Arabidopsis thaliana: one gene and its partner. Each later gene encodes a partner of the first gene's protein in a complex. Each region holds a gene or a part of one and is shown on either strand. Other genes may lie near its edges. A codon is read from its position in the direction of its gene.

Region 1 (10,219 bases):
GTCATAAATTGCCCAATTATTGCGTTATTTCGAATTTTAAATTGTAGTTTTAAGGTAGCTAAATTATGGGTTTTATTTACAACAAAAGAGTTATTTATTTTAAATTACCAATATATAGTCATTTATTGCATGTATTTGCATATATATACTCTATACTCGATTTACATATATTTTATCAACCATTTTTTTATATAGGATGTTGATTATGTAGTTAGTTATATTTTTAGGGGGTCAAAGATCGAAATTAATCAAATTTTAGTGGCCCTAACAAGCAAATCAAGAATCTATGGATCAAATCAAAAAAGTATCAAACCATGCAGGTGTAGTTTTGAGAAAATATACCAATGTGTCTTTTTCATTCACACAATTGACAGTGACGTATTATCATTAATTATTAATATGATTTAAATTCGTAATCACTATGATCCATCATCCATATATGTTGTAGTATTCTATTCACCAATGTATATAGGTTTTTAATAGAATCGAACAGAACTACAGAAGGATACAGAAAAAAACACAGTTAGTACTTTACCAAAAATTAAAAAAAAAAACAAAAACACAGTTAATATATAATACGGAATAAATGCATTTAATAAAATTTAAAACAGTGATTTTATAAAGTAATACTATATTAAGTCATAATTAGTAAACAAAAAAAAGAATTTAAAGGAATACAAACTGTTTTATTATTTATTAATAATGATATACTCCGTATCATAACGATTTACCTTAAAAATCGTAAAATGAAATTTTTAATCATGGCGCTTACATCCATGATTAATGGCAGAGCATCGTGGCCATTATGTATTCAAATTTTGTTCGTCGAACAAACAAATTTTGTGTGAATTTAGATGAAATCTAACCTTATGCATTTGCCATATTCATCGTACTGAATTCTTCAGTTTAAAAATTGTGAATATCGTAGATAATATATTGATATATCCACGTTACTGTAGTACTATATCCTATGTTTCTCAGTTATCAACTTTGTAGCTTTCTGACTCCAAATTAATATATTTTAGAGGCTGCTGTGCTGAGTCGAACTTAATTAATTCCTTAATACTAGTAGAAAAATAATATAAATTCTTTTGAAGATAAATATTTATTCTACGACGCGTCGCTTGTTTAACGCGTCTGGTCAAGGGAATAATTTATGACTAAAACTAAATTCAGTAAAATGCCCGAGTGGCGTATATACATGCACATGCCTTTTGTGATAAAAATAATAGCTTTAATCACACTTAGTAAATAATTATTCAAGCATGTATGGACTATCTATGATTAATTAGTGCCATAAGGGTTTATTATCTTAATTTGGGCTGCTCTTAGCTTGCTTTGAATTGATAACAACTAACGATTATAAATTGAACAATATGTTTTCAACTTCTTCTCAAATCAAATGATGTCTTATCATCTGCTTTTGTTTATGTAAAGAACATTCCCTTGTTAATGCATGCATTAGTCCACCGTTACCAGAATGGTCTTTAACTTATTTACATCGGCTAGATATCAACATCGAAATGATAAGATCATAGCTTGACGAAAAACTCAAGAAAGACGATTAACACTTAACAGAATGCTGTCAAATGAGAGCAGTTGTTATTACCTTCATGTCCAACCATAATTTAATAAGATTATCTTGTATTAACAGGATTGTGGTGTAAATGCTTTAGAGCAAAATACAAAAAAAAAACATCAAAATTATAACTCCGTACATGTTATGGTATCGTAAGGAAAGAAAACTTTCAAACACAATATCTTCTTATCGATGGGATGGATAAACGTTATTGAAACTTTTGGAATATTTACCAAAATAAACCTACACCGATGAAATATTCTTTGAACAAAAATAAAAATCTACATTTAGTTTTGGAAACTGTCTGGTAATTTCCACGAAAGGTCTTTGGACTTTGGGTGCGTGTTGAAAAAGATATAACTCTCCTTATACAGAGACCCACATGTCACTTCATATGCTGATTAAATTTAATTTGTACAATAAAATTACTTTTGAGACTAATAAAAACTCTTACGCCTTAATAGAATTTAATTAAGGGTATTTAGTAAGTTACATCTACATGTGAATTTGTTGAAATTACTGGTCTTGATTGATATTCTCTGTTTCAATTTAAGCGTCATTTCAGAATTTGAAATATGTTTATAAAAAGTGTCATTTTAAGCTGTTTAACTGTCATTTATGTTTCAATGCATGTATTTGATAAAATTTCTATTTTTTGTTTTTACTGTTTTAGTATGTTGGCCAATGAAAATTTTATAGAATAAATTCATAAAATAAAAATAAAAATAGAATTATTTTCTTAGGTTATGTGATGAAAAACACTTTAAATAATACTCAATTTGACAAGATAGTAGTGTCTGGGACCATACAGGACAGATAGAAAACAATCATTTTTTTGTTAAATAGATTTTTAAGATAAGCTAAGTACCAAAAAACACATTGAAACCAAACAGCATATGAGTTTGAATTTGTTTGGTACTGGAAGAGTTTATATAGAAATTAAGCTCATATTTCAGCCAAATGCAATTGAAAAAAATCAAAGTGTTAGTCACGCCAAGTGTGAACGCAGAAAGTCCTGTTAGATGATAAGCACGTGTGAAAACATCTTAACACTTTCATTGTATTTGTCTTTTAGATTAAAGTTGTCGGATTTCTCAGCGTTGCTATGCGCAAGAAAAAAAAATCTTGGCCACAAACTTAGTTAATACTGTAGCATATGGATATATGTAGTTTGCAATTGCATGTGTAACGGGGGAGATAAAATGATAATAAACAATGAGAGATCAGGGAATTTTTGGAACTAATCGTAAATTTTACCACGTCATTAATCGTATAGTTTTGAATCTTTATATTCAATCCAAAGAATTAAAAAGGATGGGCACAAAGGGTAGATATATATGCTTCCTTGATTGAATAAAAGGAAACTTTGCATTTTATATATTCGATGACGCTACTGAATCTTTATTTTCTTTAGTGAATACAAGAGAATGAAACAATGTTACAACAGAGGAACAACAATTAATATCATATGGGATGATCCCTAATTCCGCTTCATTACCAACAAATTTTTTTAGCATTGGGATGGATAATTCGTAATGATCGTGGTATTTTTTTTGGCAGGTAACAGAAGCTATTCAAAAATAAGCAAGCAAAACAAAAAATAATAACAGTTGCATACACTTGCATTAGGCCACACATACAGTGAAACGGTATGATTGTTTTAAACCAAATATCTAAACGGCATGCATGTGTCTCTACTGTTGTAAAATCGTTGACCGTGGAAACATTTTATCTTAAAAGTCTCAACTTAATAATGGGCTTTCTTTATGGCCCATATAAATGAGCTACCTCGTTGACCCATATCGTAGGCCACTTACAGATTCTCATTTCCGATCACGAAAAAATAAACCATCTTGGGTTCAGTTTAAGCATTCCCCTATGCAGAAGAAATAAGAGAGACCTTTCACCTTTGTTTGTTTGTATGAAAGAACAACAGTAATTTTTTTTTGGATAAAATAGCGAACATAGTTAAATTTAAAATTTACAGTCGATCTTAGGAAAACAGACTTTAGAAAAGTGTGATTTATCTCATTAAATCACAGCTACTAATACTATACTTCTATAGAGGGATATATCATGTGTCGATGGAGGCTGGTAAAAATTTGAAATTCCTAAGCAATTTTTTCTTCTTATATATATAGATAATTATACATTCCAAAATAGTAATTCAAGGACAGGTACATTTCCTTTTTTTCTTGTCTTGTGAATTAAGGAGAGGAAAATTTTCTTTTAATCCAAACAAAAAAAATCATTTCCTAAAAAAGTCTCTTCGTCTGTTGGCAAAAACGACGCCGTGTTTCATAAGCCAATATCTCTCTATCTCCTCCGGCGTCCGTCCCGGGATCCTTCCGGCGATCAACTCCCACCTACGCGCCACGTAGGATAGGCTAACAGTCAGTGTTGAGGAACTTACACTTAACCAAATACCTTTTATTCCGATAAAAACCGCATAAAGTTTGTAATTCGGTTAAAATTCTATGGAACCGAACCAAAATCGTAATTTACACTTTGACTTCATACAAACATGCTGTAATCAAAATTGAACCAAACTAGCCAAAGTGAGTTCTGACATAAATTAAGAATATGTTTTGCTAAAGAATCATATATAAAAAAAGAAACTGAAAACGAAATCTTGATTAGGTTTTGCTATTTGAACAACTAAAACAAAAAACAGAGAATAATAACAAGATCAAAAATCAGGCTGAACACAGTCATTGACAGCTCGGTAAGTTAGACCCAATAATATAATAGAAAAACCAAGAAAATGCATAAATAAACGACCGACTTTGAGATCAAAATCTAAGCAGATTCGACAAAACATGAAAGACCAAAAAAAAGAGAAAGCAACAAGATGGATCGAGAGAGAAAGAGTCTCTAACCTGTCGCCAACGAGTTTATACATCCGAGAAATGAGATCTTCTTCTTCTTCTGACATCTTCACAGCTTCCCATTCGATACTACTCACCTCTGCGAAACAAACATACAAAATCAGACTCAAACCGATCAAAAAGATATAGAGAGAAACAAAGAGAAATCAGACCTTCGGAACAAGAAGCCTTGGCTTTGCTCTGTCTCCGTCGTCGTTTATCCATTTTTTCCGCCTTGTCTGAACGAAACATCGAACTAATCTGAAGACACGAAACACACAGAGAAAGAGAGAGAGAAAGAGAATAAATCTCGAGAAACAAGAAGAAATGATTTCCTCACGAGGGGAAGGATTAATAGTAGCTTTTTTTTTGTTGGGTTCTCGGAAAAGAAAAGAGTGAGAGAGAGAGGGGCTCGAAAAGGAAAAGAAAATCAAACTGATTATTATATAACTGCGCATGTCTGATTAATCCTAGAATAATTATTTATTTAATACTTATCATCATCCTCCATTATTTAAATATTGACTGATTAAGAAATAATATAATTCGATTGAGCTAAAGAAAACGAATCTGTAAACTGTAGTGTTTCACTGTGTGTGTGTGTGTGTTGCTTCCAACGGCCTTTAGTTCATAGAGAAAGAAGAACGACAGATACAACCATAACTACTTATTTTAAATCCTTTGACTTGCGGTTGTAAAAATTCCTCGTTTACAGACAGTTGGAGAAATAGTAGCTTCTCCTCTGGCTTTGACTTTCGAAATGACCAGTATGTCCCTTATATGTGTTCTTGTTTCTAGTTTATTTGCTATTCTACATTAAATATACATTCTGTCAAAGCTACTTATTTAAAAATATAACTATTCAACAATAACAAAAAAATTCATTTGTTGCAAGAGAAAACAAATAAGGACTGTGATATAAAGTTCAGGAATTCGATTTGAAAGTTTGATATAAGAGGAAAGTTTGGTAGAAGAGAACAGCAAAACGGGAAAATAATATTATAATCAGAAGAGGGTAAAAAAAGAAATAGTTAGTTCGAGAACATATCTCTCTCTATGTATCTTTCATATATTCCTTTGGTCTGATGGTAATGTCGTCAAAAGTGGGCACAACACCCGTATGGTTGTGTGCCTCTACTGGTCCGATGTGGTCCGAAAACGTACTTGTTTTTCTTCATTAATTATATATTTTTGATTACAAATATGCTTTAACCACATCTCGAGACCGGTTTCATTACATATTTCAAGGTTTCATCTATTCATTTTTATATCACAAATGGAATTTTTGACTAAATGGAGTGAGACGAAAGAGCAAAGAAGCACATTTGTTGTATACAAAGCTTTGACTCGCAAAAAAAAAGGCATGAATCAGACAAGTATCTAACAACAATTATTTATGACATGTGGTGGTTAAAGCTATTTAATAACCCAAAAAGACTTCGAAGAATATATGAGATTAGCCCCCCTTTTTTCATTTTCTTAAAAAGATTTGTATAAGATCTGCAGTGCGAAGGTGAGATACGTCTATATATTCTATAAGATGAATAGCTGCTCTAGCTACTTTTTTTGTGTGGTACATGTTATGATAAATTGAAAACGTTTAATCTATGCATTTTTAAGTACATGATCTAACAGTTTATAGAGATAAGTTGCATGTTTTCGTACATTATATGCTAATGAAAACAGTTATGTTGAATGTTAGTTGCTGCATGTTGTTGTATGGGTTTTTTCATGACGAAGTGGTTAAAGCGTTATATGTTGCCCTAATAAGCCATGGGCCTATTCAAAAACAATATGGGCTTATTGATTATTTTAAATTGCTATCGGCCAGCTTGAGCAGTTACTTGAAAAGGCCCATGAATGTTTACGGAGAGTACAACACGTTGACACGCACAACAACAGAAAAAGAAAACACAAAAGCTTATCAATCAATCAAATCTTTAATTATATTATTTGGTCGGTTTAAGAAGTGTTTACGTGGTTATCAACATTAACTTTTGAATTGAATTATACGAAACGGCAAAAAGATTATCAAAAGTGTTGACTTGTGAGCTACCGTTTTTGCCCCTTAAAAGTCTCAAATTCCAAGGCGATAAATGGTCAAGCACCCTCCACGCTCCTCCTGTCTTTTATTGCCACGTGTCTACCACCGTTCCCGTCTGAATTTGTCAGCATCTGTATGCCACGCGGCGGCCAGTTTCCCCGACGTTAATTTCTCCGGTAATTATCACACGTGTCGTGTAGTCAATGGATATTAACTTCGAGCTTATTTTATGGAGTTTTTAATTGTTTTCAATTAGCGTTTTTTTCTCATTGGTGGGTCCACAGATTAATGGAACTAACGAAATATAATTGGTGAATGAAAATGTCTGTTTCATTGAATTCATGCGTTTCTATTAAAGAAGTCACAGTTTTTAAAATGGGTTCACGTGGTCGAGTACTTAGCTCGTGAGCCGGCTTCAGTGTCCATAGTGTATTACTCAGCTTTGTAACAACATTATTAGAGAGAATAATTCACTTTCATTGTATAAATGACAAAAACAATTAATACCAACTTGTTTTGATAATTACAAAGTAACAAAATAGAAGCATTCAGAGTTTTGAAGTTATATATTCATTTGAAATGTCTTGAAAAAAGTTATATGTCTTTCTTTGACAAAACAAAATTCAGTAAATTTCAATCAATTATATATTTTTAAAAGTACTATACGCACACAATTCTTTATACAACGACAAAAAGAAATTTTACATCTAAAAATTTCGTATATAGATAAATTAACACGTTTGTAAAATATTGAATAAATATTATTTTGTCACTATATACACAGTAATCACATGTAATAAATTAAAATCAATCGATATGTTTCGTTAGATCTCTCAATAGATAATTATTGATATAAACTAGTACGAAAATAACATAACATACACAGTTACACATACATAAACATATAATATTTGTACCAAAATTATTAAGAAAAAGAAATTTAAAGCTCTCAATCAAGAGATTTTGTATGATATGAAATATTCTTCTGATTTTTGAACCATTTTGCATTAGAGAAAAGTAAATAAAACTAAAGTGGTCCTGGAAACATAAAAAAATAAAATAAAAATAGAGAAAGAAAGAGATGCTATTCCTGGAGACTGAGAGTACAGTGGAGGTCCATGACATCTCGTAACACCCAACAACACTCAACAACTTGCCAAATTAGCTTTCACTAGCTGTTGTTATACATTCATTTCTTAATTTAAATTGGAATATCATAAATAACACCTTATAACATTATAACCAAAGCATAAACTACATGCATATATTCTTAGAAGACATTAACTTTTTAATTAATTTCCGATTATAGTGTGATTACGCTCCTTGCAAATACTCTACAAGCTATGAAAGTAAAAAGGTATTGGCTACTTTCACCGCCGCTACTATATCTCGTGAGTCGTGAGTGAAGCCAAGCCAGGCTATTATTAAGTTGTGTACTACTCATTCCGTAAAAACCAAACTGAAACAGAACTATTCCTTTTATAGTTAAACACCGAATTTAATTCTAAACTCAATCGTATTAAATGAGAAACGTACCATTACTTTAAAACTCAAACTGAAACTAAACTAAAAATCCGGTAAAAGTTCTTTTACTCATATCATTGGAAATAGTTTTTGAAGCAAAGTAAAAAACACTAGAATAGTGTAACTAGAAGGAACTACTAATATAAATTTTGGTTGCTGGTGAGATTCTTTTTCCTCCTTCCCCAGCGGACGTCTCCGTCTCTTCTTCTGCTTCTAACTTGCTCCAAATTTTCATTTCAATTTTTTTGATAGGACTTAAAAATTCCAAGCTCGCTTATGAGAGTAATGGCGTAGCAAAATCTTTATCTAACTCTTGGCTCTTGTCTTTTTTTGTTTGTTTCTCAACCTACGCCGGATCTTGCTTCTTCGAACTTCTCCGACGCATCTTCTTCAGATTCCGCAGAAGTTTGCGTCGTTTTCTTGAATCCACTCAAAATTTTATTGGAAGTTTGTGTTGTTTTTACTAGCTCTGAATCTTTAGAGGGCTCAAAAATTCGTCGAGAAAACCAGTCTTTGGAAGTGTAGCATTTTGGATTCGCTTGTGACTTGAATCTTGAATATTAGGTGAAACCGCCTTGGATCTTCTCGTTGATCTTTGTCGTGGACATTTTTTTTTGTAAAGCTTAGTAGATTCTCTAATATTTAATTAGAGAGTATCTGTTCGTGTTATTCTTTATTGTTAGATAATGATTAATCACTGCACACAATCTTATTGAATTTTCCTGTTGCTTTTCTCGGCTTGAATTCTGAAGAAGTAGTTAGAGAGATGGCTTTGCTATATACTCTTGCTAGATCTGTTTGATTTCTTAGATTCCTGATTTAACGATTTCCTTCTAATTTGATTATCCAAAATCTAGAAATGGTAAAAGTTTCTTGAGTTAAGGTTCATTTATTTTACATTTGACTGTAGTTTTTTTGTGTGATTTAGATGCAGACAGGACCATGTTGTGTTTTGGATTACTTGAGAGATTTACTATCTCAATAGTTCATTTCATCGTACATAATTTTTTTTTGTGAACTTGTTTAATAGGAATGATGATGAACTATTCTTGTTTTGTGTGTATAGTTTGAAGATGGTAACTTTATGAATTAATTATTTATTACTTATTAGATTCTGCAGTTGCGTCTTCTTGATTCCTAATAAACAATGTTAAAGAACACACTTTTCATGCTTCCTATCATTAGAAGTGTCAAAGATGCTGCTCTTTTTTAATCATTTTTCTTCTTACCTGCTGTATTAACAATTTACGTATATCCAGGTTTCTATTTGGTCAACAACATCAGAAACATGTGTGCTCAGATGTTGAGCTCTTTAGATTCAATTGTTGTGAACATTGTCAAGGAGAATAGTGATTATTGAAGGATGCAAGATTTTTATATTCAGCTCTAATGAAGAACGGACAGGTTTGTCCCTAACACATCCTCACCAACTTTTTCCTTATTGTTATAATCTTGCTTTCGTATACTTAGATAAGAAGTTGAGCCATGATAGAAACTTCATTATTAAGAATACGTGATCCTTTAGTTATTGGTATGCTTGATTGGAAAGAAAGTTGTAGCTACTTTAGCATTGATATACTTAGATTTACCAAGAAGTGAAGAAGTAAAAGAGAGTTTGTATAACAGGAGTTGCAGTCTTCTACCCAAGTTTCACATGAGTCCCAAGGTGAACAGAAAGTTAATTTATCAGTAGAAGCTCCAATACAAGATTCTGGTTCTGTATCTGCCTCAAGTAATGACGGTAGGAAAGTGTCAAGACAAGATATTGAACTTGTAAGAACACTTTGCCACCTTCCTATCTTTATAGACTTTCTTGTAAGTTTCCAATCATCTGATAAAAAAACATATTCTAAATGACTGATGCAGGTCCAAAATTTGATAGAAAGATGTCTCCAGTTGTACATGAGCAGAGATGAGGTCGTAAAGACACTCTTGACCCGTGCAAGGATTGACCCTGGTTTTACAACATTAGGTACAATCACTTTTGTTTATTTCCATATCAAAGTAACATTGTGTTAGTAACTTACCCTTTATGATAACGTTCTTTTGAATTTTAGTATGGCAAAAACTGGAAGAAGAAAACGCAGAGTTTTTCAGGGCATATTACATCAGACTGAAACTGAAGAAGCAAATAGTTGTATTCAATCATTTGCTTGAGCATCAGTATCACCTCACGAAGTATAATGTACATTCAAAAGTTCCTCT
Region 2 (12,447 bases), on another chromosome or scaffold:
TGAATCTGAGTGGTCCTCTGGCAAGCTCCATCTCCTCCTCGCAGCTAGTGAGTTCTTATCATAACTACCATCGGAAAAACTGGCTTTAAGCGCCTTCAGGGACTGTAAAACTGGCACCATATCCCCCTGGTTTTTACTTTTTATTAGGATTCATAACTCAATAGAGAAACACAAAAGAGGACAGAGAGAAGAAAAGATATGGGAGCAGAAATCATGCAAGCTTATCATCAAAATAGCAAGTCAGACAAAAACCATGATCAGAAAAGTGTTGCACCCAGAAGTGTTTAAAACGAGGCTAATTTTAATCTAAACATATGCCTACACAGAATTGGTTCGACTCATTAAAGGAAAAGTGGCAATACGACAACCACTTCATCTATATGACATGGATAATTCTATGTAAACCAGCATGTCTTTCCATATTTAAGAAATCAACTTTTTCCACAGAAATGAAGAATAATATCCATGAAAACATAACAGACCTGTTCTATATCTGAAACTTCGAACCTAGGCAGGGCCATTTCATCCATAGCAGTCAGAAACCGCTCAATTTTTACACTGGCAGGCTCAAAGCTGCCTCCCTATAGAATAACCAAAGAGGATTAGTCAAAAAAAGGAGGGTTTGACAAAAAAAAAAGGGGTTAGTCTAGCAGCAGATAAGTAAGTGAAATGGTCATGAAAATTCGTAAGTACCATTCTCATTGACCCAGGACTAAGCTGATTTAAAAGGCTACACAAGACAGTTCCATCCCTCAAGCATGCTCTCAGTTCGTCCTCTGAAGCTTCCCATGGTAACTTCAGATAAGGAAGTGTCTCATTTAACCACTCAACCAAACTCTGATGACCTGCGGGAAAAATTAAGAAGAAATAGACAAAGAATGAGAAGAAAAAACATCTAACCATTTCCCCTACACCTAATATGAGAGGCGATTTTTAAGGTTCATTTCTGCAACGGCTCTGTTGCAATATAACAAACCATGTAAAGCAAGAGAAATCGACTCATTCAAGATAATCAATTATACTTTTCCATATTCGCTAATCATTCGAATAATCCTGTCATAACTCAATTTCTGAAAGATAACTGTTTCGATCTTTAGATGAAATGAGAGGATATTAGCGTTCGAAAAGATAAACAGCAAACAAGGGAGTAGATAACGTTACCTTTCTTACTGTCATCCATACTTTCGCGACTTTCTGATCCGTCAAAACTCAGCATGCTAGACACATCTGATCGAACATAGACACCATTCATATTGGCGTCCTGTGACAGATGACTGCTCATTTCAACTCAGAGATTACGCGACTCCCAGAATTATAGTAGCGAGAAGACCCTAAAGCAAATGAACCAATTAGCCAACAACAAAGTTAGCATCAATGTTAATTGGTTTCACATATACTTCCTAATTCCTAATCCATGGTTAAATCATGAAAGACCTTACTTCATCATTCTACACCAAATCCTCATATGGTAAAATACCTATCAAATGCTTTCAATTTCAGATAAGACTAGTTCCCCAATTAAAGAGATAAACAGCCAAAATTTGCTTTAAATTGTAAACAATGATGAAGTTTGTTCAAACATTTCAACATCTCGCTTAGCAAATATCCACAATGTCGACCAAATCAACCCATAAAATCAGCTCTATATTCCACCAAAATCACGCAGATCCAGTCAAAAACCCTAAGAAGCCAACAACGCTTTTGTAACACAGAGACGAAGGCCAAAAAAAAAAAAAACGATACGAACCTAAAACGCCATAAGGAGAAGAAGAAGCTTGTAGATAAACCTCTCTATAGTGTAGACGACGGAGAATGAAGACTGCTCCTATTGAAATGCTACGGAAAAAAAAAACTCAGATTCACGGCGAGAAATTGGAGGCGGAAGTTTGAATCCCTCGCCGGAAGAGAAAAAAATTCGAAATTTTTCCCAGTCGCACGATTTTGCTCACTGTTCCTCCTTTTTTTCCTCTCTTTTATTTCTTTTAGATTCCAAGAAAAACAAAAGGCTAATTACGGTTCGAATTTCGAAAAAAGAGAAAATTATGTTTTTTTCCTAATTGTTTGATTTTGATTTTGCTTTACGCTATATGGTCTTGGTGGGCCCTACCCTCGTTATAGAAAATTAGAAATAAGGTACTCTCTCGACTTCCCGCTTTTTCCCATCCAAAATTCAGTTTGGAGATATTTCAACTTTTCATATACGACCCAATATAGTTTCGGCCCATTTGAGCCCAAATATTGAAGGCCCGGACTAACTGGATCGGATGTCCATCAAACATTTGAACTAGTATGCCTAATCTTAGCTACTCTATTCAAATAAATATGATCTGTTTATTATATAATGCAGTATATAGTTTAGAGATGTTGGATTTCAGAATTTTATTATAGAAACAAATAGATACTTAATTCGGTTTTTTTATAACTTGAATCATATCGTTAAACATCGAATTCCACCATTAAATAATAATGGACATTGGAAAATATGTGTTAGCTTATACATAAGCCTATTTTTATGATTAAATTCAGTAAAATTTTTGTTAAAATGATTTCAGATTAAGGATAACTAATAATTTATAAACAAAAATAAAAGATAATCAATTTTAGCTTCGTGATCATTAATCAGGTCAGAGAACGAAAGAATATCTTCGGATCTGTTCGAGCTTAGAGTTTATACCACAACAAAGTTGGATTGCCCTGATTGACACATACGTAGATAGTGTATATATATTGCCATGTGCATATTTCTATTTTTGCCATGTTCATGCGTGGCTCCACTATGATCATCCATAGAACGTGGAAAATAGTGGTGGTATAAAATAATGAATTAAAATAAATAAATTTTAATGAGATAAAAAGCAAGAGAATGTGGTTAATTACAACATCATATCATATGTAGTAGGTCGTAATATTGATCGAATCATGAATTCATAATTTGTTTATGACCATACACGTGGTCAATAATTTTAACGGAATTCAATTTGTCAAACAACCCTGACTACGTACCTAGCTGTTTTTCAATATCCTTAATTCATTCTAGTGAAAAAGATTGAGTTAATTAAATAGTTGCATATATCTCTTATGCAAAAAAAACATTTGATAACGAACAAGTTGTATTTTAGTATCTATTGCTTGTTTTAGACGTATAAACGAATTTTAGTTACATTGTGCTTACATTTTCATATTTTGATCAGTTTCTTGTTTTTTTTTTGTGTGTGTGTGTGTCAATTTTATCTAACTACCGTAAATCAAAATGTTTGGTTGATGGAACATAGCTAAAAATCCGAAACTACTGAATAGAATCTAAGTTAAACACGTATATATATATATATATATGTAATATGTGAATTCAAATGGAAATCTATTGTTTGTGTACGTATACGTAAAAAGACAATCTATTTTATGATGGAAAAAGACAATATATATAAGACAATGACAGAAGATCCAACATACAGGCATTACGTGAGAGGTCCCATTCAAAGTGACTCTGAATTCTTAGGCACTTTCAATAATTCGAATTTATACAGGTCTCAGAATTATAAGCAAAGCTTATTGAATGGGTTAAAGGAATTAATTTAGATATGAATTTTGGTTGGTTTTATAATTTATGATGGAATCAAAATCATAGAGAGTGGCTCGCGCTGACAAAGTTATTAATGCTAAATTAAATAAACTGGACCCCAAAAAATGGACTGTTCGATCACTCTTTTTTTTTTTTATCAACAGTAGACTCTGTTCCGTGCAATTAATGCGAGCATCTCTTTCATTTTACTTTTTCAATATTTTGTTTTTATTTCTATTGTGTGAAGAATTTATTTATATTTTCAGTCTCGATAAAACAATGCATCATCATCTGCGGCGTTAGATATTATAATGAAAGATTTATTAGTTGTGTACTAGCTAATGGTTAATATGTCATATGTGTAACAAAATGAGGTGTATATTTAGTTTGTTTTTTTGTTTTTTTGTTTTTTGTCCAATGCATTAGAAGTACTGTCCAGAATTGTAGTATTTCACTACATTTTTATAGTCAAATTATATATATTAAGCAAAAGTCAAAATGACCCTTTTTGAGCTGAGAGCCGGAGACTATAGGCTACAGAATCTAATGTTTGCGTGTGTTCACGATGACCACAGTGTAACTAGATGACATATCTTTTAGGAAAGTAACGAAAAAAATAATCAGCAAAGAAAAACTATTTAAGAAATTACTGAAAACACAGACGTTCACGTTGATATAAATGTACAAATCTTCATTTATCAGGTTATTATGTTTTATGAATCATACAGTTAGTACATGAAATAAACAATATCTGACTCCGTTTTTCAACGTACAGACACGACAAGTAGTCCTAGTTAGGGGTGATAATTTTGGGAGATGCGAAGAATTAATTAAGAGCATGCACATAGCATATGATAATAATGACTCTTGGTTTCTTCTTTATTAATCATCTCATTTAAATATCATTTTCTCGTGATTTTGATCAACATAGGTTGTTACATAGCTAAACCCATTATCAATCCCTTACCTTAGAATTGAAGTCAAGGAAGAATACTAAACCTTACATTATCTTTAGATCCCAAATTCACTCGTTCTTGATAACCTTATTGTCTAACTCCATATATAATTGGCTCGTGTACGCATCTTTAATACAAATAATTTACGAGGTTGCGATTAATTAAAATGAAGGTGCATAGAAAATTAATTAGCAATTATACAAATGTTCTATGGTATTTCCGAAGATTCGAAAACAATGTAGAATATATATATTCAATGAACATAGTATATATTATATTTTAGTTAAACCATACAACGTAATTTAGTCAATACTAGAAGCTTGTCTCTCTCTCCAGGGTATCTCCTCGAGGCATAACATTAATTTCATGTCTTTCTTCGTGTTTCACCATTAGGATTTGTTCTATCTTAAAATCAAGTTAATATTTGTGTATATATTTGACCAGTAAGGCAGTAACATATAAACATTGCTTATAAGGGTGGCAAATTGGTTTGGTTGGATTTGTAAGTGTTATGCCTATGAATTTTTTTTTTGGTTCAAACTCTGCTTAAAGTCTAAAGACCTATATTATGAGTTACTAAAAAAAGTTATTTCCTCCGTTTCAAAATATAAGATGTTTTAAATAAAAATATAAAAATTAAAAAATCAAAATATAAGATGTTTTAATTAAAAATATAAAAATTAAAAAATATTTTTTAAAAAATTCAGCAGATTATAAAAGCTGATGCATAATATAAATATGTATACAATATTAAATTAATCTATAATTTACATAAAAACTTGAAAATATTTTATATTGTGAAACAAACAAATTTCTTCAGAACATCGTTTATCATGAAACGTAGAGAATAGGACATATCATTGATAGAAAAAAGATTTTAGAGATGGAAAAATAACTAATTTCTCTTAACAAAAATAAATTTCCAAAAGGAGAGTGGTGCTTGGAACACCGTATTCAAAAGGGTTATACACTAGACACTACTTTTTTTTTTTTTTACCATCTTGTTTTATATATATTTATTTAAAATTCCTCGTAAAGTTCAGTGTTTTGTGATTATATACAGTGTACACACACCTAAAATAAGTATCCATAAAGAGATTTGGTCATTCGGACACCGTCCTTTTCTCTCAACTCAAAGCTCAATTCAACCACAACAGATAGTAACTTGAAAGTCACAAATATTTAATATTTTCCCATTATAGAAGGTTAAAAAAAATAAATATATTCTGGGTTTTGTTGTCTTCTTCTTTCTTCCTCAGGAAACCAAACCAATGTCATGTAAAAATCACTAACTCATGACTAGTCATAACCTTTAAATCACTTCTGCTTTTTTTCTGTTTCTCTTTTGATTTATTCAAAGACAACAAAGTTTTGTTTTTGACAAAAAATCTGATCTTTGTTTGTTCGTTTGTTTGTTACATGGGGATGAAGAAACAATGGCAACCGGAGAAAACAGAACGGTGCCGGACAATCTAAAGAAACAGCTCGCAGTTTCAGTTCGAAACATTCAATGGAGTTATGGAATCTTCTGGTCTGTCTCTGCTTCTCAACCAGGGTACAATCTCGTAATCTTTATCCTTCAAATTAACTTTTCTTGAAAATAAAGTTTTGTTTGAGACATTCTTGACTTTAGTCCAAAACTCAGATAAAACTTTATCCTTACTTCAAGATTTCGATTTTTGTTATGTTTTCTCGATTAATCCAATTTTTCTTGGCTATCTTTTTTGTTTTCTCTAAACGAAGAGTGTTGGAGTGGGGAGATGGATATTACAATGGAGACATAAAGACAAGGAAGACGATTCAAGCAGCAGAAGTCAAAATTGACCAGTTAGGTCTTGAGAGAAGTGAGCAGCTTAGAGAGCTTTATGAATCTCTCTCCCTCGCTGAATCCTCAGCTTCCGGTAGCTCTCAGGTCACTAGACGAGCTTCCGCCGCCGCTCTCTCACCGGAGGACCTCACCGACACCGAGTGGTACTACTTAGTATGCATGTCTTTCGTCTTCAACATCGGTGAAGGGTAATTCCGTCTCTTCCTCATAATCCTTTCATTTCACCTTTTTTAAAAACAAAAACCTATCTTTCAGAAAAATTTCTTTTATGAAGAATATCGTTTTTAAATTATAGTATTATTTTATTCGTAGACATTATAAGAAAATGTAAACGATACCAAAATTCTAAAAAAAAAGTATAAGGGTATGTTTTATTTTGTCTCATAAAAAAAGACAAGAACACCCTTTATTAGCTTGTCTCCTTCATTTCTTCTTCCATGTGAGCTTATTCAGAAATCCGACATGTACGAGTTTAATTATTAACAATGCAATTATCCTTTATATTTACTTAATTTTTTTTATGTTTGTAGGTTTTTTTAAAGTATACCTCTTTTTAATCTTAGAAGACATACATAGATAGAAATGCGAAAGCACAACGGAAATAAGTTTTTACTTCATTTGCATAATTGCATTATACATTTGCTATTCAAAGAAAGTAGTAGAAAACTTTTGTTCCCATTAAGATAAAGATTTTGAGATACAAAACATAAAGGGTATTTCCGTCTTTCTAATGTAGAATCCCCGGAGGAGCGTTATCCAATGGAGAACCAATATGGCTTTGTAACGCTGAAACCGCCGATAGCAAAGTCTTCACTCGTTCTCTTCTAGCTAAAGTAAGTTTTTTGCAATTGGAAACGCTAACGCTAGAATTCAAGAACGCTATAACTGAAAACGCTCTTTTTTTTTTTTTTTTTCGTTTGGCGTTTTGCTCTTTAAAGAGTGCTTCGCTTCAGACAGTGGTTTGCTTCCCGTTTCTTGGAGGAGTCCTTGAGATTGGCACGACCGAACATGTAAGCCTATATTTCCTATTTTTTTTCCAACACTATCAAAACATTCTTAAAAGTACCCAAAACTTATCTTTTGTTCTTTTAGATTAAAGAGGACATGAACGTGATACAAAGTGTTAAGACGTTGTTCCTTGAAGCTCCTCCATATACTACAATATCGACAAGATCAGACTATCAAGAAATTTTTGATCCCTTAAGTGACGATAAATACACTCCGGTGTTTATAACCGAAGCTTTTCCAACAACTTCTACTAGCGGGTTTGAGCAAGAACCTGAGGATCATGATTCGTTCATCAACGATGGTGGTGCGTCTCAGGTACAAAGCTGGCAGTTTGTGGGTGAAGAAATCAGTAACTGCATTCACCAATCGTTAAATTCAAGCGATTGCGTTTCCCAAACGTTTGTTGGAACAACCGGGAGACTTGCTTGCGATCCAAGGAAGAGTAGGATTCAACGGTTAGGTCAGATTCAAGAACAGAGTAACCATGTAAATATGGACGACGATGTTCATTACCAAGGCGTGATATCGACGATTTTCAAAACAACGCATCAGCTAATACTCGGACCGCAGTTTCAGAACTTCGATAAGCGGTCTAGCTTCACAAGGTGGAAGCGATCATCATCTGTGAAAACATTGGGAGAGAAATCGCAGAAGATGATAAAGAAGATACTCTTCGAGGTTCCTTTGATGAACAAGAAAGAAGAGTTGTTACCGGACACACCAGAGGAAACCGGGAACCATGCCTTGTCCGAGAAGAAACGCCGCGAGAAATTGAATGAACGGTTTATGACATTGAGATCAATCATTCCCTCAATTAGTAAGGTAACCGATTCTAGCAAATCTGTTTCAGTAACGTTTTATGTTTATTTCTTGATAATAGGAAGACATGTTTAAATATAATGCTCTGAAGGAACTAAGCTTGAGTCTCTTGCTGATTCTACAGATTGATAAAGTGTCGATTCTTGATGATACAATTGAGTATCTTCAAGATTTACAGAAACGGGTTCAAGAGTTGGAATCTTGTAGAGAATCTGCTGATACAGAGACACGGATAACGATGATGAAGAGGAAGAAACCGGATGATGAGGAGGAAAGAGCATCAGCGAATTGTATGAACAGCAAAAGGAAGGGGAGTGATGTGAATGTAGGAGAAGATGAACCAGCTGATATCGGTTATGCTGGTCTAACGGATAACTTAAGGATCAGTTCATTAGGTAACGAGGTGGTTATTGAGCTTAGATGCGCTTGGAGAGAAGGGATATTGCTTGAGATAATGGATGTGATTAGTGATCTCAACTTGGATTCTCACTCGGTTCAGTCGTCAACCGGAGACGGTTTACTCTGCTTAACTGTCAATTGCAAGGTACAGTCATTAAACCAAGCTTGATTTATGTTACTCAACCGGAATATGAGCAAACCGAAATGTGATATGTAATGTTTAATGTTGATTGCAGCATAAAGGGACAAAAATAGCAACAACAGGAATGATCCAAGAGGCACTTCAAAGGGTTGCATGGATATGTTAAGGATTCAAGGTTTAGATTTGACAAAATTAGCTTTTTCTCTGGTTTGGTTTCCCAATTTTCGGTAATCAGTGATTCTAACCGAGTTTTTGTGATTTTGAAGTTTTGGAAGATCCTTAAGAATTCTTGAAAAATCGTTCCTTTTGGCTCATTACGTAGGAGAAGACAATAAGAAATTACTTACTTAGCAATTAGCATACTATGAAATTCAATTATGCGAAATATGAAAACCACTCGTAGTAGTTCGTGCACTATCATTTTTAAAAGTAAGTAAACTAGAACTTTTTTTTTGTTGTTGAAAGTAACTTTTGTATAAGTATTTGTAACGAGATCATATTTTGTGACTAGTTCAAGTTCGACCAAAAACATTATAGTAAAATCTAAAGAGATACTACATAGCCCGATTCCAGTATCTTAAGTCTTCAATCTCACTTCAAATATTCTTTATATGTTTTTAGAAAAGTTATGTAAGAAATTAAAAAAATATTTTTAGAAAAGTTAAAGATAGAAATGGTGGTCAAAAGCTGATAAAAGTGTTCGCAAAATACACTGCCTTATAGAGAAAAGAAGTAATGTCATTTCAAATAATTGCATCTAACGCCACTGAGATCTCACTTCAACATGTGTTACCATTTTAACATTAACTTTTTATTTCAAAAAGAAAGGAAGAAAATTGTAAGCACAAGGACTATACTGTATTTGGATTTCGTTTGGTAGCATCAAAGTAACACTCTCATTTTAGTAAGAGGTTAACTTTATTGAAAATACACATAATGTGGGGTTAGAAATTGTGTTGAACAATTTCTTGATTTAGAACGAAACTTAAAAAGAGTGGAAATTCTTTAATGGGTTGGTTGGCATGGTAGGTGGCCATTAAGAAGATCCATGAATTGGTGAAGTTGAGGTTTATATCATGTATTAGCCTCGGTATATAGTGTGTAAACCTTGATATTTAGTATGTAGAAGTATGACTATAGCTTGTATAAGCGCGGCCATATCTGAACTCAGATTTTGCTTATATGAATCTGGCTACAAGAAGCATTTGTAAATATGGTAGTTGCAAACTTTCACCTGCAATATGTATAAAGCTTAGGTAGAAGTGCACAACACAGTAATCTAAGTACATAATGAAGCCTCTTATATTGTGTAAACACAGGTAGATAATAATGCACTGAGTCCCTTTTTCGATTATCCACCCAAATTGTATGCAAGTTTTTGGTATGATTTGTATCACCATCATCATTGCTCATCTAGTTCATCAGAAAACCATTGTCTACTAATAATAGTAATAATAAGCACCGTCACAAATTCACCATCATTGTTTGATGATAATCTATTTTACATGGTAGAAGAATTGCAGACACCCATAAATAAAAGACTCAGTATATGTTTTCTTTATTCCCATTCGATGGTTGAAGGAGGCTTTGATGTAATGTCTAGAACCACACGGTTTACTCCTTGAACGCTGTTACAGATTTTCCGGGAAACATCGTCCAGAAACTTGTGCTCAAAATTGAACCTGCAGTTTATTTAAACATTACCAATCTCAGCCAAAGTCACAATATAAACTAGCGTTTTCATTTGCACCGCAAGTTTTCTAGTCAACAAAAATTGCACCAATAAAAGTAAGATTTGATACACATACTTGTTATCCCTTAGAATCAAGGTACCTCTATTTGTACTCAGATCAGATAACGAGTCTTAAATATTGCAACACAGCAAGTAATTACTGTTTAACTTTTACTATCCGATCTATTTAACCGGTTTTAGACATCCTAGATACCTAAATACATGACTTTAAACACTCCAACACCTAAGCTAATCTGTCCTGAAATCTCAACCACCCAAGTACTCAGACCTAAAATACCACATGGTAGATCTAAACCTCAAGTATTCACATCAACACAGTAATAAGTTCACGATCAAAAGGGTTTCTATATGCATCGGTACTAGGAAGTGTAAGAAGCTTACCAATCTGCGGTCATTCCATCTTGGCTTGTAACTGCACGAAGAGCAACAACATGAGAATGTGTTCTCTTGTCACCTTGGACTCCAACTGATCTTACAGGCAAGAACACTGCGAAAGCTTGCCAGATCGAATCATAGAGACCCGCATCTCTGATTGATTGAATGAATATCTCATCAACCTGAGAAGATGGGAAAATAAAGATGAGTTTGGTAAATGGGTAAGGGCACAACCAAAAAAATTATACAGCCAGTTTGAGATTTTAGAGCACTAGCCTGACGAAGAACCTCAAGGGCGTTTCCTTGGGTGACATCGCCCAAGACTCTAACTGCGAGTCCTGGACCGGGGAATGGGTGACGCTTCAAGAACCCTACCGGCACATTCAAGATTCTTCCGAGCTCACGAACCTTTATTGCACAAAAATCAAGTGAAAGATCACAAACCAAACACTCAACAGTTGCAGACAAGAAAGATAGCAAAAAGACAATAGTAACACACCTCATCTTTGAAGAGAAGCTTGAGGGGTTCGATGAGCTTCAATTTCATGTCTTTAGGGAGTCCTCCAACATTATGGTGACTTTTGATGGTGTGAGAATGAGTCCTATCAGTACCCGGGGGAGGGCACGACTCAATCACATCAGGGTACAGAGTCCCTTGAACTAGAAAAGCGGGTTTCTTCCCATGCTTTTTCTCTAACTCTTGGGCAAATTGATCAAAAATGTTGATGAACTCCCTCCCGATTATCTTTCTCTTTGTCTCGGGATCCACAACGCCTTTAAGTTCACTCAAAAACCGCTCGGATGCATCAACACAAGTAACAGGTAGATGCAAGTCTCTCTCAAAGGTATCCATCACACGTTCTTGCTCCTTATACCTACAAAAGGAACCATTCTCAATTAAAGAAAAAACAAATTAAAAGTGCATATCAAATTGAAAAATTGCTTCTTCTCTAACCTTAATAGCCCGTTATCAACAAAGATGCAATGAAGCCTATCTCCAATTGCCTTGTGAACAAGAGTTGCGGCAACAGTAGAGTCTACACCTCCTGACAAGGCGCAAATGACATGTTCGTCAGATGCAACGGTTTTGTTAATCACTTTGATCTCTTCTTCCATCAGATCTTCCATTTTCCAATCCGCAGATACTCCACACACATCAAAGAGGAAATGCCGAAGTGTCTCCATTCCTTTTGGTGAATGTGTCACCTGCAAAATCCAACAAAAAGCTATTTCGTCATAAGCTAGAAATCAACACTTAACCAGCACATCATTTACAGACGTTCACGAGTAATTCTCAATCAATGGACTAACAAAACATCAACTAGAAGTACTATATTCACTAAATATCCAATCCAAACTATGATACTACATCAAATTCTCCAGTCTATAGAAGCAAACTAGCCTACCATTAGATAGCTATGTCAATAAAATTGAAGTCCTTAGTTACGATTCAGAAAAAAATTTCACTTAGGAGAGAGCCACAGAACATGAACTAAATTCTCCAAAGTCCAGTATGCCAAAGATCCAGACTTTATCATCCATAAACCCAAAATCCACTAAAACCCCAATCCAAACAACAATCATATCAGATTCTTCAGCCTCTAGAAT

The links.
Region 2: the proteins of CPC (region 1) and EGL3 are in contact, whole or in part, in a crystal structure (PDB 7FDO), measured with the Arabidopsis thaliana proteins. Residues at the interface, in NP_182164.1 of Arabidopsis thaliana: Glu41 (codon at 4,505), Glu42 (codon at 4,502), Leu45 (codon at 4,493), Arg48 (codon at 4,484), Met49 (codon at 4,481), Lys51 (codon at 4,475), Leu52 (codon at 4,472), Val53 (codon at 4,469), Arg56 (codon at 4,460), Leu59 (codon at 3,938), Gly62 (codon at 3,929), Arg63 (codon at 3,926), Pro65 (codon at 3,920); in NP_001185302.1 of Arabidopsis thaliana: Tyr81 (codon at 6,380), Leu84 (codon at 6,389), Ser85 (codon at 6,392), Pro108 (codon at 6,461), Glu109 (codon at 6,464), Asp113 (codon at 6,476), Trp116 (codon at 6,485), Leu119 (codon at 6,494), Val120 (codon at 6,497), Ser123 (codon at 6,506), Phe124 (codon at 6,509), Ser153 (codon at 7,144), Leu160 (codon at 7,165), Leu161 (codon at 7,168), Lys163 (codon at 7,174), Ser164 (codon at 7,282).

The regions. Positions count from the first base shown.
Region 1 is NC_003071.7:19,045,488-19,055,706, forward strand, and holds CPC (Homeodomain-like superfamily protein), read right to left. Parts: upstream 4,883-10,219; 5' UTR 4,699-4,882; coding exon 4,620-4,698; intron 4,547-4,619; coding exon 4,459-4,546; intron 3,946-4,458; coding exon 3,828-3,945; 3' UTR 3,534-3,827; downstream 1-3,533. Other genes in the region: AT2G46420 (helicase with zinc finger protein), read left to right, coding at 9,404-9,418, 9,641-9,787, 9,881-9,986, 10,072-10,219. UniProt on the Arabidopsis thaliana protein: Transcription factor. Determines the fate of epidermal cell differentiation. Represses trichome development by lateral inhibition.
Region 2 is NC_003070.9:23,593,858-23,606,304, forward strand, and holds EGL3 (basic helix-loop-helix (bHLH) DNA-binding superfamily protein), read left to right. Parts: upstream 1-5,555; 5' UTR 5,556-5,793; exon of another isoform or gene 5,794-5,946; 5' UTR 5,947-5,951; coding exon 5,952-6,070; intron 6,071-6,258; coding exon 6,259-6,531; intron 6,532-7,079; coding exon 7,080-7,176; intron 7,177-7,281; coding exon 7,282-7,353; intron 7,354-7,435; coding exon 7,436-8,173; intron 8,174-8,294; coding exon 8,295-8,714; intron 8,715-8,805; coding exon 8,806-8,877; 3' UTR 8,878-9,307; downstream 9,308-12,447. Other genes in the region: AT1G63640 (P-loop nucleoside triphosphate hydrolases superfamily protein with CH (Calponin Homology) domain-containing protein), read right to left, coding at 1-126, 483-581, 694-845, 1,162-1,282; AT1G63660 (GMP synthase (glutamine-hydrolyzing), putative / glutamine amidotransferase), read right to left, coding at 10,270-10,393, 10,846-11,021, 11,116-11,247, 11,339-11,714, 11,795-12,045. UniProt on the Arabidopsis thaliana protein: Transcription activator, when associated with MYB75/PAP1, MYB90/PAP2 or TT2. Involved in epidermal cell fate specification. Negatively regulates stomata formation but promotes trichome formation.